Canis lupus familiaris: one gene and its partners. The protein of the gene in region 1 purifies or fractionates together with the protein of each later gene. This does not show direct contact. Links are inferred from orthologs where the notes say so. Each region holds a gene or a part of one and is shown on either strand. Other genes may lie near its edges.

The links.
Region 2: the proteins of ISG15 (region 1) and HERC5 purify together in Homo sapiens (affinity purification with western blotting; 3 studies listed by BioGRID, with this or other methods). This does not show direct contact. The link is inferred for Canis lupus familiaris from reciprocal best matches to the Homo sapiens genes ISG15 and HERC5.
Region 3: the proteins of ISG15 (region 1) and ENO1 purify together in Homo sapiens (affinity purification with mass spectrometry; 4 studies listed by BioGRID, with this or other methods). This does not show direct contact. The link is inferred for Canis lupus familiaris from reciprocal best matches to the Homo sapiens genes ISG15 and ENO1.

The regions. Positions count from the first base shown.
Region 1 is NC_049226.1:56,709,731-56,716,214, forward strand, and holds ISG15 (ubiquitin-like protein ISG15), read left to right. Parts: upstream 1-2,950; 5' UTR 2,951-3,086; coding exon 3,087-3,107; intron 3,108-3,543; coding exon 3,544-4,047; 3' UTR 4,048-4,104; downstream 4,105-6,484.
Region 2 is NC_049253.1:28,189,630-28,196,665, reverse strand, and holds part of HERC5 (E3 ISG15--protein ligase HERC5), read left to right. Parts: intron 1-1,148; coding exon 1,149-1,269; intron 1,270-1,541; coding exon 1,542-1,618; intron 1,619-4,433; coding exon 4,434-4,655; intron 4,656-6,034; coding exon 6,035-6,126; intron 6,127-6,581; coding exon 6,582-6,712; intron 6,713-7,036.
Region 3 is NC_049226.1:62,793,754-62,799,448, reverse strand, and holds the end of ENO1 (alpha-enolase), read left to right. Parts: intron 1-383; coding exon 384-606; intron 607-1,868; coding exon 1,869-2,066; intron 2,067-2,734; coding exon 2,735-2,936; intron 2,937-3,359; coding exon 3,360-3,468; intron 3,469-3,637; coding exon 3,638-3,696; intron 3,697-4,755; coding exon 4,756-4,825; 3' UTR 4,826-5,184; downstream 5,185-5,695. UniProt on the Homo sapiens protein: Glycolytic enzyme the catalyzes the conversion of 2-phosphoglycerate to phosphoenolpyruvate. In addition to glycolysis, involved in various processes such as growth control, hypoxia tolerance and allergic responses.

The DNA of each region.
Region 1 (6,484 bases):
ACCCTCTATAGCCCTAGCCTCTTCTCTGCTGCCCAACCTCCTGCCCCACTGTAGTGTCCCCATGTTCTCCTATGACTTTCCCCCCTCTGACACCTGGTGAACAAGTTGTTATACTAACTTTTCTGTTTAGACAAATGGGGCAGTCTCTGCCTGGTGTCTGGGCCTGACTGAAGCCCCTTGCCTCCCCTACATCTTTCTTGGACTCCTCAGACCAGCATTCTGCTGCCACCCTTGACACTAGGAGTCCACTCTCCACCCTGGCCTATCAGGCCCTACTACAGCTCTAGCTCCCTGATATATCCAATACCTCTCCTGCCACTGACTCCACACCAACACCACATTTTCTCTGGATTTTCAGAGAAACTCCTAATTGATCTCCAGCTCCCTTCCTGACCTGAGGTCTTCTACTTCATGCAACTGTCCTGATGATCCTGTTAGGCCTGAGCAAAATCAGGTCAGCCCCTCCTGGGGGAATGCATAGTGTCTCCAGTGGCCATCTCCATGCCCTGCTTCTCTGCATCCACTCATCAGCCTTACTGCCTCCCGCATGTGTAGACACACTCCTGCCCCAGGGTTTTGCAGCACCCTGGCCTCTGCCTGGGATTCTTTAGGACTTACATCCCCCTTTTCTGCTCTTTTCTTCTTTGTACTTATCCCTGGCAACATATGCCTTTCTTTTTTTTTTTTTTTTTTTTGGTTTAGACTTTATTTTTAAGTAATCTTTATACCCAACATGGGGCTCAAACTTACAACCCTGAGATTGAGAGTTGCACGCTATACCAATTGAGCCAGCTGGGCACCCTGCAACACATGACTTCTGTACCTACTTATACCACCCAATGTCTGTCCACTACACTAGAATGTGAACTCCATTTTGTCCAGGAGTAGTACCTGGCACAAAGTGTGTACTCTGTAAAGACATGTTAGCCAAATGAATGAATAACAAAGATGGCACCTCTCCAATATCCAGATAATGATACCATCTTTTCCCAAAATCAATGGTGACAGCATCCTACCAAGATCTGAGCAATGGAGGCATATATTCCAATATCTCATATCAAAATATGATTTTCAAGGCAAAAAAACATGACTTCCAAAAAAATGCAGAGTGAGCACATGTCGAGTGTTTTGTTTAGCTCACCAATGGGAAAACCAGCAGGTTCCAAGAGGCTTTGAGGGAGTACAGGTCAGATGCCATATGAGGCAGCAAGATCATGTTTCTCCAGGATAGAAGTCCTCTACGTCTGGTAGGATGGAGGTATGTTTATGATATACTGTTTTGAATGAAGCAGGTTACAAAATGGTAAGAGTAGGATGAGTTAATTTCTTTGGCTTTGTTTTTATTGAGGTAAAATTCATATAACAAAAATTTAACCATTTTAAAGTACATAACTCAGAGTCAGTATATTTACAACATTGTGCAACCATTACCTCTATCTAGTTCTAAGACATTGTATCACCCTCAAAGGAGGCCTCATATTCATAAAGCAATCATTCCCTGGCAATCAATACTGGACTCTATGGGTTTGCCTATTGTGGATATCTCATATAAATAGAATCATATGATATATGTGGCCTTTTGTGTCTGGCTTATTTCACTTAACATAATGTTTTCAGGATTCATTCATGTGGTAGCAGGTATTAGTACTTCATCCCTTTTTATGGCTCAATAATATTCCATCATAAGAGTGTATCATATTTTGTTTATGCATCCATCTGTTGATGGACTTGGTTGTTTCCACAATTTCTATCTTTTTTCTGTTGTAAATAGTGCTGCTATGAACATTTGGGTACAAGTACTTCTCTGAACACCTGTGTTCAATTCTTTTCAACATATACCCAGGAATGGAATTGCTGGGTCATGTGAAAATCCTGTTTAACTTTTTGAGGAGTGACTACACTGTTTTCCACAGTAGCTGCACCATTTTTACATTACCATCAGCAATGTATGAAGGTTCCAATTTCTTTACATCCTCATCAACACTCGTTATTGTTTTTTTTGAATTATTATTTTATATTATACTAATATATTATTATAGTCATGCTATAATAATAAGTGTGACATAGTATCTCATTGTGATTTTGATCTAAGTTTCTCTAATGACATTTCCCTAAGGACTAATGATGTTGAGCATCTTTTCATGTGTATTTATGTATTTTCTACAGAGAAAGATCTATTCAAACACTCGCCCAATTAAAAAAAAAAGATTTATTTATCTGTTTATTTGAGAGAAAGAGAGAGCAGGGGAGAGGCAGAGAGAAACCTGAGCAGACTCCAGGCTGAGTGCAAAGCCTGACATGGGGCTCAATCTCACAACCCTGAGATCATGACCTGAGCCAAAACAGAGTTGGCCACTTAACCAACTCTGCCACCCAGGTGCCCCCATTTGCCCAATTTTTTATTGAATTGTTTATATTTTTTATAGTTCAGTTCTAAGAGTTCTTTATATGTTATGGACACCAGATCCTTATCTGACTTATGATTTGCAAATATTTTCTTCCATTTTGAGAAAAGCCTTTTCACTTTCTGGATAGTGTTCATGAATTCATTTTTATAGAAAATAAGAGATATATTTCTTTCATTAAACCAACAAACAAAAAACAATCTGAAGAAATACCATCCTAAACCAATGGTGATAATCTCTGGGTAGTTTGGATTGTCACTTGTTTGTTATTTCTGAATTAATTGCAGCAATGTTTTCCAAACTTACTAATTTTGCAAATTGGTAAATGGAAAGTGAATGTTTCCAGTCATTAGTTTCTGTTATGACTTCCGTGTAGCTTGTAAAGAACCTGAAGTGCTAGACACTTACGGGGGTTTCTGAATGAACACAGGGTGAGAGCATTGTCCTGAGTCTCTGGGCAGGTGGGTAATCCCAGGTCTTTATTACTGTTTTGTTTCTGCTACTCACAGGAGCATTCCCTGGGAAAAGGAAACTGAAACCGAAGCTAAATTCAGCCAATGGTCAGGCTCTCTCCCCAACACTGCCCTCTGACGTGAACAGCTCAGGTTCATAAAAGGGCTGAACAGGAGAGTAGCTGCAAGCTGAGAGGCAGCCAATCCATCTGTGCCCCTGGAGGACTTGATGCTGGAGCCTACAGCCATGGTAAGGGGTGTTTGACAGGCGGGGGGCAGGTGGGCTCTGTACCAGGCTCTTTTCCTATCTTACTGCTAGGGTCTTCCAAGGGTGGAGCCAGGCAAGTGGAGGTGCTCAGAGCTCCCCCAGGTCCCTAAGCATGAGGGGAGGGGCAGGGCCGCTTCTGAGATTGAGGTCTGGGTCTGGGAAAATGTGTTTTGCCAGTGTTGAATTCTGAGATCCCTTGGCATTGGCACAGGAAGGCATCTTAGTGGGCTGAGGAGGTGAGGTGATGGTCCTGGGGGATGGGCCTTTCTTCTGGAAATGCTCCCTGCTTCCCTCTAGTGCCTGGGGTTCCTTTCCTGGTGGGTGGGGAGGAGAGCACAGCTTTCCCTGTGGCCAATGATCTGCATGTAGAGGCTCCAGGACTGATGGTGAGGTTTATGAGTCTGTGTGATGCCCACAGGCTGGGAACCTGACTGTGAAGATGCTGGGAGGTGAGGAGTTCCTGGTGCCCCTGAGGGACTCTATGCTGGCATCAGAGCTGAAGCAGCAGATAGCCCTGAAAACTGGCGTGCCTGCGTTCCAACAGCGCCTAGCTACCCACCCGGCTGGCACAGTGCTGCAGGATGGGATCTCCCTCATCAGGCAGGGCCTGTGTCCTGGCAGCACAGTCCTGCTGGTGGTGAAGAACTGTAATGACCCCCTGAGCATCCTGGTGAGAAACAATAAGGGTCGCAGTATCGCCTACGAGGTCTGGCTGACACAGACTGTGGCTGAGCTCAAGCAGCAAGTGTGCCAGCAGGAGCACGTGCAGGCTGACCTGTTCTGGCTGACTTTTGAAGGGAAGCCCATGGAGGACAAGCACCAGCTGGGGGAGTATGGTCTCACACCCCAGTGCACTGTGTTCATGAATTTACGCCTGCGGGGTGGTGGTGGGAATTGGGCAGGACCAGGAGGGCAGTGCTGAGAGCCACCCACCCAAGTCCTTGACCAAGTATGGGTAATAAAAGTTGACAAAATTAAATGGCTCCTTCTGCTTGGTCCTTCCCCCAGCATCCCTCACTTCTGCATCCCTGCTGATGTGGACAGGGAGGGACAGAGGAGGAAGTGGGATAAGGAGACCCAGGGACGCTGGGTGGTCAGTAGGCTGGGGTTGCCAAGTTAAGGGACAAGACTAGTGAGATCAAAATAGAGATCTACTCCCATCCACACCTTGGACAAATTGAAGATGTCCCCACACCTTCGGGAAGTTAACTTCTAGAGAAAGAAAAGAGACACATCTGCTGGAGCCCACCTCTATCTCCAGATTGAGCCAGAATCAGCCTTTGCACAACTGGTTCCCATTCCCTACATCTGGGTCAGCAGACAGTATGGTGGGGTGGGGGGAGGTGTGGTCAGGTTCCTGCTGGGACCAGCACCCCTGGAAATGGTGAGAGGGTGAGGCCCCAGAGCCTGCCTCGGTGGGCTGTGAAGCAGGCTCCTCCAAACCAGCCAGGGCCCTGGGGCCTCATGGCCCTCCAGGATCCATCAGCCTGCCCTGTCCAGTCTGCATTGGTTTAGGGAGGGGTACGGGCAGGGCCTTGAACACACACATCACTGTCCCACAAACTGCTAAACGGAGACTATTCTCCAGCAGATACACCTTCCTTCAGGGCTTTACTTAATGGAGAGGCCATGGCCAGCAGGAGAGGGGCCTCCCGGGATGAGGGGTTCCTCTAGTTCATACGGAAGAGCTTGTCCTAGGTGGGGGGCACCTATTTCCACATAGGTGGAAACACACCTGCTTCCACATAGAATGGTTCTTTCTATACCAATTCCCCAAGAACTCTACAGGAGCCAGATGGTGTCAGCCTTGGACACAGGCAAGATGGGGAGTGTGTGTGTGTGTGGGGGGGGGGGGTGGACGCTCAGAACATACTTCTCTGAGGACACTCAGACTTCAGCTTTCAGACTGCAAGGGTAATTTGGCTGGAGGCCCAGAAGCCCCTTTCTGGTCTGTGGGGGTCTGTATCTAGGCCAAGGGACTTCTAGGTCTGGCTTATCTGTGACCAATATGTGTAGACAGGCAGCTGTGTGTGTGGGGGGGGTGGGGTGCTCCCCTGATTCCAGTTTCATTTCCTGGGTCCCTACCCTCCCTTCTTTGTCATAAGACAAATTAGCCAGTGTGAGCATACACCCTTGGTGGCACCCTCCCACCAGGGCCTGGGGAGGTAGGGTCCTCCTCCAGAGGGGGGCTCTTCTGCCACTTACCCTCCATTGCTTCAGCGATCTGTGGCTGGCTCGGAGTTGAGGAGGTGTGCCGGCGACCCGGCCCTGGCGGGACAGAAGCGGTAGCCTCTCCCTTCCCTCCATCTCCAGCTAAGCTAGGCTCTCATTTGTACCCCCTGGATCTCGGTTTACCCGGGTTATCCAGGCCGGCAGGCTGGAGAGGCGCTCATCTCGGGGCTGAAGAGGGGGCGTGGCTGTCCGTGCGCCGCCGGCCCCACGTTGTCACCGCTGGCCTGTAGAGGGAGCCCTCCGCTCTGCAGTGAGGCCCCAGCTCACCCGGGAACGGGAGGTGGGCGGGTCTGCGCTCCGTCCTGGCCAATCACCACGGCCCCCAGCCCACATTGGCCCTAGCCCGCCGGGGGCGCGGCCTGCGGGGGCCGCCTACTCGCCCGAACTGGCTGGGGGTCCCGCGCCCCGGCGAGTTTGCGGCCCCGGTTTTCCAAGAGGCTGTCGTGCCCCAGCGGGTTCCTCCCGCCAGGGGAGGGGCGCAGTCCCGCAGGGCCCGAGGGACGGCGGGGTCCCAGCACCCGGCAGCCCCTTCCCGCGGCTCTGGCCACGGCACAGCCTGGAGCCCCTTGGAAGTCCCGTCACGTCGCCTCCAGATTATGCATTAACCCGATTGCAGCCGCATTTCCTGGGCGGGGGCGCGGGGTGGGGGAGAGACGTCCGCGCGGGAGGGGGAGGGGAGTCAGTGGGGGCGCGCCGCAGAAGAGAGCACCCCCCACCCCCCGGGTCCGCCCACCCGCCCGCTCGGTCCGCCCTCCGCCCTGCGAGTCCCACCACCCACCTTGGCCCGACCCAGTCCGGCCCCCTCCCTCCCACCAGCCGGGCCTCCGCCCGGCGCCGCCGTCCCGGCGCTTTGTTCGCGGCCGGCGCGGGTCGCAGGGCGCCGGGCGGGCCGGGGACCGGCGCGGGCTGGGTAGCTGGATTGGGGGGAGGTGGGGAGGCGGGGAGGGGGCGGGGCTGCCCCGGGTCCCGCCCCCGCGCCGCCCGCGCTCCCACCGCCTCCCGGGAGCTGCGTCCCGTCCTGTCTAGTCCCGTTCCCGGCGCGGCCAGGCCCGCGCGCTTGCTCTGGCCGCCTTCCGCCGTCCTCGGCCCGCGCCATGGCCAGCCTGCGGCGGTCCGGCCCGGCCCCG
Region 2 (7,036 bases), on another chromosome or scaffold:
TTTGACACCATTCTTCCTTAAAAATAGTCCTCCTCAAAAAAAAAAAAAAAAATGTCCTCAAACACAATTCTTCCTTTCAAAAATATAGAACTTGGCTTCTACATGGAGCAATTAAGAGGTTTTATTATTATTTGTTTTGTATTTGTAAAGAGTAGGTCTCAAAATACACAAAATGAGTTATGTTCTCCAGATATTGTTATATTTTCTTATAGAATTTTTCATTTCTGTCGCTTCAAATTCAATTTCTGTCTCAATTTATTAAACAGGAATTCAAAACAATATTTAATTGGTTATTTTAAAACTATATTGAATTTATTTGATTTTATTTTTTAGAGGGGGGAGGGGCAGAGGGCGAGAAAGAATCTTAAGCAGGCTCCAAGCTCCTCCATTTTACAATCCTGAGATCATGAGCTGACCTGAAACCCAAGAGAGATGCTTAACCGACTGAGCCACTTAGGCACCCCAAAACTATATTCAGTTTATTTTTATTTTTTAAAGATGTTATTTATTTATTTATGAGATACATAGAGAGAGAGGCAGAGACACAGGCAGAGGGAGAAGCAGGCTCCATGCAGGGAGCCTGACGCGGGACTCCATCCCGGGTCTCCAGGATCAGGCCCTGGGCCGAAGGCAGCGCTAAACCGCTGAGCCACCCAGGCTGCCCTATATTCAGTTTAAAACAAAGTATGAATCAATGCTTTCCCAAATTGAAAAAATCCATGGCCGGGGTGTTTGGATGCATCTGCCTTTAGCTCAGGTCATGGTCTCCGGATCCTGGGATCCAGCCCCACGGTGGGCTCCCTGCTCAGGAGGCAGTCTGCTTTTCTCTCTCTCTTTCTCTCTTTTTTCCTCCCTCCCTTTTCCTCTTTCCTTCCCTCCCTCTCCTCCTCCCTACCACTCGTTCTCTCCTTCTCAAAAATAAATACAATCTTAAGAAAAAAGAAAAAAAAATCCGTTGTCAAACAGTAGCATTGTTAGTTTGTCTGCTTTCATTCTTGAATTTTTCTTTAAAGAGAGGTTCGTGTTAAGTCCAAGGTTGTCTCGTTGAAATTTTTTGGGGGGTGTTTTAAGTGTATTATAACGAAATGATTAATGATAATGGGTAATAACCAGAGTGGTGATAATTCCTGGTTGGATTTGCTCTGCAGAGTGCATTAAATTAGGGAAAAAAATGAAGATACATTCCGTGGACCAAGGAGCAGAGCACATGCTGATTCTATCCTCAGATGGAAAACCATTCGAGTACAACTATAGCATAGAACATGCAAGGTAGGGAACTTTTTTTTCTTTTACAAAAAATTATATTAAAGATTATTTAAATTTTACTCAAGAGGCAATCATAATTTTTATAGGAAAATGGTAATTTATATGAATTTTGTCCTCTGCTTTATATAGTGGCTCTAAAGTAAACAATTCTGAAATGACCAGTGAATTTCATCAGTGAACTATATCAATTCCAATTAAATACAATTAATAAATTTAACATTGATGTTGTGACTTTCATTATAGTGATTGACATAAATTTTATTTTCTTTCATCAGGTTTCAATGCATTTTACAAGAAAAAAGTATAATTCAGATCACATGTGGAGATTATCATTCTCTTGCACTCTCAAAAGGTACTTTTCTGGAATATTGTTTTTTAGAAGGAATAAACATGTATATGTGTATATGTAGAGCTAGTAGAATGTATGTGCTTCACTTTATAATAGACAAAGTTATGATTTTGAATTTGCTATAGTTCAGGGCACTTGTTCTTTTTTTTTTTTTTTTTTTTAAGTAGCTCTAGGCTCAGTATGGGGCTTGAATTCATGACCCTGAGATAGAGTCAATCAAGAGTCACATGCTCTACCAACTGAGCCAGCCAGGCACCCCAAGGCACTTGTTACAAAATAAAAGAATTTTTGGATCTATAAAATCTTTAGGTTTCCATATTCATCGTTTCTACATTGCATTCTGTCAAATGACAAAACAAACAATTTAGTAAAGAATTTGATACCCTTTGTTCAAGGACAATCGATGGATTAGGAGTACAGTGCATCACAAGCAGTGGAGCACTCTTCTAGAAGGATTTTGAGCAAGGGCAAGTTTTCTAAAGCATTGGAAGCCACAGTGCAGAAATAGGGCATGGTTGATTGGGGGTTGCATATCTAATTTTATTTAGAAATAGCAGGCAACAACTATATGGCTCAGAGTTGGCTTGGTGTTTGGGGATTAGTTTACTGGATATATAGTGTTTCTGGTCAAGTGGAGCAGTTAAAGGAGTTTGTAAGTCAGTTTGCTGATACAGCACTGGTTCCATCTTGACTTGAGAGATTTATTTCAACAGTTCCATGTTTTTATTTTTCAAATAAGAAACAATGAAAATATTCTGAATAATTAGAATCATTCTGGAAAGAGGACCAAGCATGGATGCCTTTTCTAGAACCTGCTTCCCTTTTTCTAGTTCTCTTTCAGCGCCCATGACAGGAGCTTAGACTCCCTTGGATCTAATCTTGTGGCCAGTTTGCAGGCCTCTATGTGTTCCTCGTTATCATTTAAATTCAGGGATTCTCTCCAGCCCTTATTATTTCCTATTTCTTTTTTTCTTTTTTTTTTTTTTAAGATCATTCATGAGACACACACACACACAGAGAGGCAGAGACACAGGCAGAGGGAGAAGCAGGCTCCCTGTGTGGAGCCTGATGCAAGACTCAATCCCAGGACCCGGGATCATGACCTGTGTCAAAGGCAGATGCTTAACCACTGAGCCACACAGGTGCCCCCCCAAAAGTTTTTTTTTTTAAATATATAAGGCAGATAGAAACAAACTGAAGGGAAACTGGGGTGAAATAGAAGTAACTAATCTAGAATTTGACCTTTGCTGAAAGCCCAGTTGAAGTTGAGAGTATGAACTTATATTTAAAAAATTAAAAAAAAAAAAAAAAAAAAACAAAACAAAACAAAAAAATAAAAAATTGACCTGGTTGTTTGAATTTATCCATTCACCAACACATATTTCGAATATCTACCCTTTTCAAGTTATTTATTTACTTATTTAAAAGATTTTATTTATTTACTCATGAGAGAGACACAGAGAGAGAGAGAGGCAGAGACACAGGCAGAGGGAGAAACAGGCTCCATGCAGGGAGCCCAACATGGGACTCGATCCCGGGTTTCCAGAATCATGCCCTCGGCCAAAAGCAGGCCCTAAACCGATGAGCCACCCAGGGATCCCCTACCCTATTCAAGTTATAAAGATAAATGGATACACCAGGTCTTCAAGAAGCCTAGAGTCTAATGACGTGGGGCAAAAAAGATATTCAGAGTTTATTTCTGGTAATCATAATCTAGGAAGAATGAAAGGGAAGCAAGAAAGAGAACTAACCATTTCATCATTCATTATATGCCTGGTGGCTGGTAGGCACCTGATAATTACATTTGAAGGAGAGGTGCTGCCTCCCACCAGATCCTGCACAGTCTTTTGCAAAGAGGTACTCAGTAAACATTAATACTCTGATATATTTTTTTCAGACCCTGTTAGATATTGTCATCTCCATCAGATAACACTTAAGTTGTCTTGAAAAATAGGCTCCATGTATTCAATTAAGGAAGAAGATGTGGAGTCAAGATACTGTGCTATGATTTCAAATGTATAAATTATTTAGAATCTTCAGGCTAATGAACAGAGCAGGTGGGCAGAAGGCAAACATTAATTTTAGGCTTTATTTTCCCAGATGTAGAAAGTTTCTGGTTTTCTTGGGCCCATCATGATTTGTTTTTTAAATAAATATTTCTTGGTTTTGATTATAATATGTTCAGGTAGCTCCATTCTACCTGTCTTTGTCCGTTCGGGCTGCTGTAACAAAAATACCATAGATTGGCTGACTGAAACAGCAGGAATTTGAAGGTCCGATTCAGGGTGTCAGCAGATTGAATGTCTTTTGAAGGTCCACCATGTAAGTGGTGGAGAGGGCAAGAGAACTCTCTGGAATGTCTCTTTTAAGGGCACTGATCCCATTTTTGAGGGCTCCATACTGATGATCTCAGGTAATCCTCATCATCTCCCAAAGGTCCACCTCCTAATACCTTCACGTTTAGGGTTAGGATTTCAACAGGTATATTTCGGGGTGGGAGTGGGCGGTGGACATGACCATTTAAGAAGCCCACAATCTAGTGATATGGGACAAGTGGGGATGTTCAGGGTTTATTACTGGTAAGTCACAATCTAGGAAGATGAGATTTGGGGAAGCAAGGACACTACCCTTTGAGGCAGGAAGTAAAGAAGTATAACTGTTATTGCTAAAGAGAAGATGTTCTAGTTTCATTGTCTCAGACATACAGTATCTGAGAAGTTGAATGTAAGAGACTGTATAGTATGGATAACATAACATGTCCTAAGTTAATGTTTCCTGCACTTGAAACTTAATAAGGCAGCCTTTTGTTTATGTCAAGGTGGTGAGCTTTTTGCGTGGGGACAGAATTTACATGGCCAGCTTGGAGTTGGAAGACTATTCACCTCAATCCCCACGCCACAGCTTGTGGAGCACCTCTCAGGAGTCCCATTGGTTCAGATTTCCGCGGGAAAAGCCCACAGCATGGCCTTATCCATGTCTGGAAACATTTACTCATGGGGAAGAAATGATTTGGGACAACTAGGCCTGGGCCACACTAACGGTATGGAAACATATTTTCAAGCTCTTATTGTCAGATATATTTGTTAGATAAGAGATGAATTTAACTCGAGGGAGGGCCTCCCTGTCAAAAATGGTTTAGATCTTCACTGTCATTTATGCTGTTCTTCCTGGTTATCTTTGTCTTCAGGGCAGAATCAATCTAGAAGACATGCATTGTGTGGAGGTGGTTGTGATTAAATGTATGTCAGGGTTGTGTGGGCTCAGGGAAAGGACATTGGACTGTTGGGAATATCTAGGCTCTGCTTCCTACTTTGCAAGTTAACTAATGAGAAGGCCTTGCTGAGTCACTTAATTTTTCTCTAGGCATTATTTTCTTTTTCTGTAAAGTGATGCTTTTGGTTGAAATAACCTCTAAAGTGCCTTTGCACTTAAATGTCTGTTAACAGAAGTATATCCATGTTAGGACAGAAGGAGACTAATGATTTCTTTAGAAACTCACATATTCTAAACTTAGTCTATAAGGTATTAATTATATCTGTATACACAGATAGGGAAAAAAATCTGTAATTCCCATATCGAACTACTTCCACAAAGCAGATGGCAAATTTTTTTATGATCCAAAATACCCTCTTGGAGTTTTCAGGTGTGGCACATTGCTGCTTTATCAACTGTGGTAATGCACATGTTACCCCCTGGGTCACTGGTCATACTGCACCTTTCCCCGACATGGTCCAGTGCTAGTTACTCAGGAGAAACCATAAGTCCATGGGCGAAGGGAATAAAAAGCAGTTAAACTGTATTTGCTGAATCCCTAAGTACTAGGACAAAGCAATCGTTGAAAGAAAAAAGAGGTAGTGTGGGGTAGGGACATGGTAGTAGAGTTTTTTTTTTTTAAGATTTTATTTACGTATTCATGAAAGACACAGAGGCAGAGACTTAGGCAGAGAGAGAAGCAGGCTCCAAGGGGAGCCTGATGTGGGACTTGATCCTAGGACCCTGGGATCACACCCGGAGCTGAAGGCAGATGTTCAATCACTGAGCCACCCAGGTGACCCGGGAATAGAGAATATAAAAGAAAAAAAGGGTATGTTTATTAAAAGGGTGATTTTAGATGGGAATTGGAAATACCAGATAATGCTGCAATTAAAGTTAATGAAGTTAGGCTAAAAGAAGAGTGGGTTCTAGGAACTGGCTTGACACTTTGGCATATGAGTTCTCCTGTGTGTGGCCCTTTGACCACTGCCTCACCCCCAGTTTTAGGCCAAAATAAATATACCAATCCAGCGGCCTTTCCTGTTGGGTTTTGGGAACTGTGGTTGCCAGCTGGGAGTCCAGGTATTTTACTAGTAGCATAGAACTCCAATGTGCAAGTCGATGTTTTTTTTTTTTTTTATTACTTCTATTCTTTTCCTTGTGTAGGTGAAGATTTTCCTTCTCTTATTGAAGCACTGGACAATCAGAAAGTAGAATTCCTCGCTTGTGGTGGCTCTCACACTGCCCTGCTCACAAAGGTGCGTGTTGCCTGTTCTCTCCAATGATAATTCTGGAAGAACTTTTAGTGGGGAAAGCACAGGAACACCTAGGTGTGCACACTTAGTGATTCCCTGGGAAAAGAGGTCACTTCCTACATGCAGGATTGTCCTCCTGATAATTTTAGGAGTTTGCTTTTTTTTTTTAAAGATTTGTTTATTTTAGAGAGTGTGTGCACATGAGTGGGGGGGAGGGGCCAAGAGAGGGGTGGAAAAACTGACTTCCTGCTGAGCACAGAGCCCATTGTGGGGCTTGATCTCATGCACCTGAGATCATAGCCTGAACTGAAATCAAGAGGCAGATGCTTAACTGACTGAGCCACCTATCAGGCTCCCCTGATATTAATTTTATTAATTATTCAGTCTTTTTATTAATTTTTCAGTAATATTACTTACTGTTGTATTTCTTTAGAATCTGATAAGTTTTCTTTCTTCAGGATGGGCTGGTATTTACTTTTGGTGCTGGAAAATATGGGCAGCTCGGTCACAATTCAACACAGAATGAGTTAAGACCCCGTTTGGTGACTGAGCTTGCTGGGAATAGAGTGACCCAGGTAGCATGTGGAAGGTAAGTTGTAAAGTGTCCATGAAAATTAATGAAGTGAATACAATAAATTTAGATAGATAATTTAATAAAACTTCCATCAGTTTTGTTTGCTTTTTTAAGATTTTTATTTATTCATGACAGACAGAGGCAGAGACACAGGCAGAGGACGAAGCAGGCTCCATTCAGGGAGCCCAACATGGGACTCGATCCTGGAACTTCAGGATCAGGCCCTCCGAGGGAAGGCGGCGCTAAACCACTGAGCGACTGGGGCTGCCCTCATAGTTTTTTGATTGATTTAAAAGTATACATTTTCACAGGGGTCAAGATGCTTAATTTACATTGTTA
Region 3 (5,695 bases), about 6.1 Mb from region 1:
ATTTGCTTTGTGGGAACCTAAGACCTCCCACATCTTGGTGTCCTCCACATGGAACTCTCCCAGCACAGTGGGCACGCGCAGGCCCTGGAGGTCTCGGGTGCAGACACCTGCCACTTGCTAAGAATGACCCTGAGTAGAGGACTGTACCCCACATCCCTTACTGCTGATGAGGGAATGAAAACCATACTTGCTGGGTTGTGAATGTTCTCTGAGGTCATAGCTGGTCCTCAGGACAGTAAGCACACCTGGTGGTGACCGCTGCTCTTAGCGGGAGAGACCTGGTGAGCATTTCAGAGCCACACTGTGAGCCATGCAGTCGTGAGGAGGTTGCTTGGGGGCGCTCTCTGGGCCAGATGGCTGTATTTCTCTCTATCTCTCCCTAGGCCTTCAATGTCATCAACGGTGGTTCCCATGCTGGCAACAAGCTGGCCATGCAGGAGTTCATGATCCTTCCCGTCGGTGCAGCGAACTTCAAGGAGGCCATGCGCATTGGAGCAGAGGTTTATCATAACCTGAAGAATGTCATCAAGGAGAAATATGGAAAAGATGCCACCAATGTGGGCGATGAAGGTGGATTTGCTCCTAATATCCTGGAGAACAAAGAAGGTAAAGGCTCTGGAGGAGTCCCCGCATTCCGTGGCACTGCCCGCACGCTTAGCAGATGTGCCGGAACTGTGATGCAGGGAGCTCTGGTCCTTCCACCTTCTGTTCACCAAGCAGACTTCTGGGAACAGATGGGGAAGCTAGTACTTTATTTGTTAAAATAAGGAATTTGCTTATTAATTTGATTTCTGAGTGGCCTGGTTGCTTATTTAAGATTTTATTCTTTTGAGAAAGAATATGGACAGGGGGGAGGGACAGAGGGAGAGGAACAAGCAGACCCCCTACTGAGCAGGGAACCAGATGAGGGACTCGAGCCCAGGACCCTGAACTAAAGGCTCAGATCAGGACCAGAGCTGAAGGCAAACACTTAACCAGCTAAGCCACCACGTGCCCCTACTTGCTCTCTTGCCATTGAACCACCTCATAAGGGCAAAGGTTTGAAGTCCGCACTGTGTCCCGGAGATGTCGTCTGTCCAGCCCGTGACCAGGAGCCCCCCCCCCCCCCCCCCCCCCCCCCAGTTCATCCACTACAGGGCTGTTCACACAGTGCCTTGTTGCCTGGAGCCCTTAGGCACAGGGTTCAACGTAAGAGTTGGGTAGGGCACAGAGAGTCTTAAGAGGAGAACTCACGGCTGAGCTTTTTGTTTTAGAAGGAAAGGAGGGTTCAACCACATTTTGTTGTCTCAGGGACAACTAGTAAAGGAAAAAGCATCCATCCTGCTCTTTGGGTCAGTCATACAAAATGCTGAGGCTCAGCTACTTTGACCTACAAAAAATGACCCTTTCACGTGGTTTAATGGGATAGCTTGGAGATCTGTGGTAGGGAGCAGACGCCAAGTGCCTCTGTCCGCCTCTGTCCGGGCAGCTCTGCCGTGTGAGGCCGCCCTCGAGCTGGAGACAAGAGGCCCCAGAGGCCGGGCCTCACCCTTTTGCTGCCCTCCTGGGTTCCTAGGACAGCGGCTCTCAGCTGGTCACTGTAACTGTCTCAGCCAGCACAGTCACTCCTGGCTGCTAAATTTGGGAGCATGTGTCAGCAAGAAACTCTCTGAGAGGAGAGACTAAATTTTCCATTTGGCCGTCTGCTGGGGGCCGTTTCCAGCAGGTTCTTGCTCCAATGCGGAAAGAAGTACTGGACTCGTCAAAGCGATGATTGGGGTCAGAGTACCTCGTGGTCATTCTGTTAGAGCTCCCCATTTGGCAGCTGCTGAAGGGAACTTTTTTCTCCACCTGCCTGGTTTCCAATCCTGTCGCCAACCTCTTTCCAGCTCTGGAACTGCTGAAGAATGCCATCGGGAAGGCTGGCTACACCGATAAGGTGGTCATCGGCATGGACGTAGCTGCTTCCGAGTTCTTCAGGTCTGGGAAGTATGACCTGGACTTCAAGTCCCCTGATGACCCCAGCAGGTACATCACGCCTGATCAGCTGGCTGACCTCTACAAGTCCTTCATCAGGGACTACCCAGGTGAGCGGGGCAGGCGGGCACTGGTGGAGCAGTGGAGTCAGGTGGTTCTGGGGTGCCAGCCAGCACTGACCTCAGGTGGTAGGTGGTCTCCAGAGTGTGTGAGCCCTCTGTCCCTATCACAGCCTCCTGAGCAAAGGCTGTCCTGGCTCCATCGTGAGCAGAGCGAGCCTCAAGCCTGCTGACTGCCCGTGGGTGACACAGTGAGCTGGCGCTCCTCTAGTCTCTATGTCACTTCACGCACGCAGGGTAGGGACTGTTCCTGCTGTTTCATGAGGGGAACTGAGGCACGGAGTGGGTTAGTAATCGGCCCGAAGGTGCTTAGCAGGTGACGGAGCAAGAATCAGACCAGGAAGTCTGAGTCCCTGCTGGAACAAAGATAGAGAACGTGCTCAGTGGAGCCAGGGCGAGCCCAGCTCCGCAGTCTCCTGAGCCCACAGCTTTTCTCTTCTCGCCGGCACTAAACTCAAGCCACCCTGGACAGGAAGTGTCCCACTTAGCGTCTGTAGGGTCCTAGGGTTGCAGGTGACATTGGTGCCCTGTCACAGGAGTCGGTGGGGACGTGGGGAGCCAGTCCTGTCCTGCGGGAGAGGGGTGAGGCCAAGTGAGGAGGTTCGGGTGGCGGTCAGCACAGGGGTCTCACCGACCACACATGGCTCTCCTTTCCCCAGTGGTGTCTATCGAAGACCCCTTCGACCAGGATGACTGGGAAGCTTGGCAGAAATTCACTGCCAGCGCTGGAATCCAGGTGGTGGGGGACGATCTCACCGTGACCAACCCAAAGCGGATTTCCAAGGCTGTGGGCGAGAAATCGTGCAACTGCCTCCTGCTTAAAGTGAACCAGATTGGCTCTGTGACCGAGTCTCTTCAGGCGTAAGTCCCTTCAGGGCTCAGCTGTCAGAACAAGGTACTGCATGTCAGCCAGAGCACCTGGCTAGAGCTGTGATGGGAGCCTGCAAGTGGCTTCTGAAATCTGCAGTGGTGCCAAGGAGACTGGGGTATCAGGCAGCTGTGGCCCAGTCCTGTCCAGTCTTGGTTCTAGACTCACGACCTGATCTTTGGTGGAAAACATCAGGCATAGGCACTGTCTGGGGAGATAAGCCTCTCCCCTCAAGGAGTCTGAACCCACCTTTTAAAAAGTAACCTAGAGGGCTGAGAAGGTCCTCCTGGCCCTGAGCTGCCTCTGGTCTCCCACTGGGGGTGTTGAGGCCTGGCATCAGGAGGGCCAGAACGACTGCAGGGCCCAGGAAATGGGAGTCACACCATCCAACCGTCCGGTGGTTTCTTGCCTTGTAGGTGCAAGCTGGCCCAGTCCAATGGGTGGGGCGTCATGGTGTCGCATCGCTCCGGGGAGACCGAAGATACCTTCATCGCTGACCTGGTGGTGGGACTCTGCACTGGGCAGGTAAAGAGCTGCTTAACTCTTCTGGGACCTCAGCTTCTCGAGCAGCATGCCAAGAAGGAGGGGGAGGATGGGATCCTGGATGCCCCTTGATGCCCTCCTTTCTGCCCTAAATGCCCATGAAGATTGAGCATCCATGACAAACACAAGTGACCTTTCTTTTCCCTTCTAGATCAAGACGGGTGCACCATGCAGATCTGAGCGCTTGGCCAAGTACAACCAGATCCTCAGGTAAAAAGGAAGCCAACCTGCACTGAGTGTGTGGGCACCATCCTCCAGGGGGAGCCCTGGTTCTATGGGGGGTATGCAGGTGGGGGCCCTTGGTTTAGGGGCTGCCCCAGCACAGAACCTACATCCCCTGAGGCATGGGCCCAGAGCTGGAGGCTGAGGACCATGCTGCCATCTTGTGGTGGAAGAGGGAACAGGTCCCCTTTAGAATAATGTGATCCTAGAATTTTTAGAGCCAGCAGGAAGCCTTAGTGATTGACTAGTCCAGCACTGTGTTTTGTGAGTGAGGACACCGGGCCTCATAGAAGGGGGACAGGCAGGTTCCCACTGGAACCCAGTGCCTTTGGATGTTCTGGTCCCTTTTTATTACCATAATGGGTCCTTGGGGGCCCCTGAACATGGAGACTTGTCTATTTTTTTGTTCCTTTTTCCAGTCTTGAGTCAGCCTGGTTACCCTTTGCTTAAATGGTGCCTGGTGGGACATCTGCCCTGTGACCCACACAGGGCAGCTGTCGGCATTCCCACGGGGCTTCTCTTCATACACTACGTTTCCTCCTTTTCTACTGGAGAACTGGAAGCACATTCCAGTTCTAAGATTTCACCTGTAAATACCTGAGTATAGGTCTCCGAGAAACATTTGTTTACTTTTTAACCACCCTGCTCTCCCCATGCCATGAGAGTGCCGGGGATTCGGTCATTCTGTAACATCCACGCCGAGTGTGTGTCCTTATGCCACCTCTAAAGAAACTGGGTTGTCCTTTCATTAAAATCATTTTTCTTTCTCTTCCAAGAACTAGCACTTCTGCCCTTTTTTCTACTTTGTCTTTGGGAAATGCTGGGGGCGGGGGAGGTTGGGAAGCAGAAGCAGCAGTGAGTGGCCCACTTGCTGGGGTAGCTGGGTGGACACAAGAGCCAAATGCCCCTCTCTTCCTGCCGCCTCTGAGCAGCCACATCCAGAGGAGGCTGGTCCCTGCTATCTGGGTAGGGGATGTGGGCCTTGGGGACAGATGTTTGACTTCTCTTTTCCTCCTCCCCCTCCCCCTCTCTCCTCTGCCTCCCAAGAATTGAAGAGGAACTGGGTAGCAAGGCCAAGTTCGCCGGCAGAAGCTTCAGAAACCCCCTTGCCAAGTAAGGTCCAGGTGGCGCACCCTGTGGTCCTGAGTCAGCTCGTTAGACCTCTGCTCCCCCGGGCAGCTCAAGGCCCCCAGCCCAAAGTGGCAGGGCCCTGTGCTAGTTAGCTGCCCTCTCCCTTCCCCGTGATGTTCTCAAAGCTTCCTTAGAATTGCTACAGAAGCCAGAGTTGACATCTGGAACCCTGCTGGGAACCCTAGCTCTGTAAACATGTAATTGGTCCAAATCATTGCTTTCTCACCTCACTTCCACCAAGCATCTGGAGCCAGGTCTGTCTATGTAATAATCTCAAGGTGTCCACAGGCAAGATCCCCAGTGGTTTTATGTGCAGAATAAAAAGGCCTCAGTGACCCATAGAAATGCTGTGTGTGTGTGTTTGTTTAAAGCAGTCTGAGTCTTTCCTCATGGCAAGTGTTCAGTGAGTCTTGCACTGGGCTCTGGGCCTATAAGAGTTGTCCCCAAAAGGGTCAAGTGGCTCCTGGCTGGCTCAGTAGGACACACACTTTTCACACTTTTTTTTTCTTAAGATTTATTTATTTATATATTTTTTATTTTTGTTTAAAGATTTTATTTATCTATTCAGAGACAGAGAGAGGCAGAGACACAGGCAGAGGGAGAAGCAGGCTCCATGCAGGGAGCCCGATGTGGGACTCAATCCCAGGTCTCCAGGACCACGCCTGGGGCTGAAGGCAGGTGCCAAACCGCTGAGCCACCCAGGAATCCCCAAGATTTATTTATTTTAGAGCACAAGCAGGAAGTACAGGGAGAGGAGAGACTCCAACAGACTCCCTGCTGAGCATGGGGGTGGGGGTGGCTTAATCTCCTGACCCTGAGATCATGACCTGAGCCTGAAACCAAGAGTTGGACACTT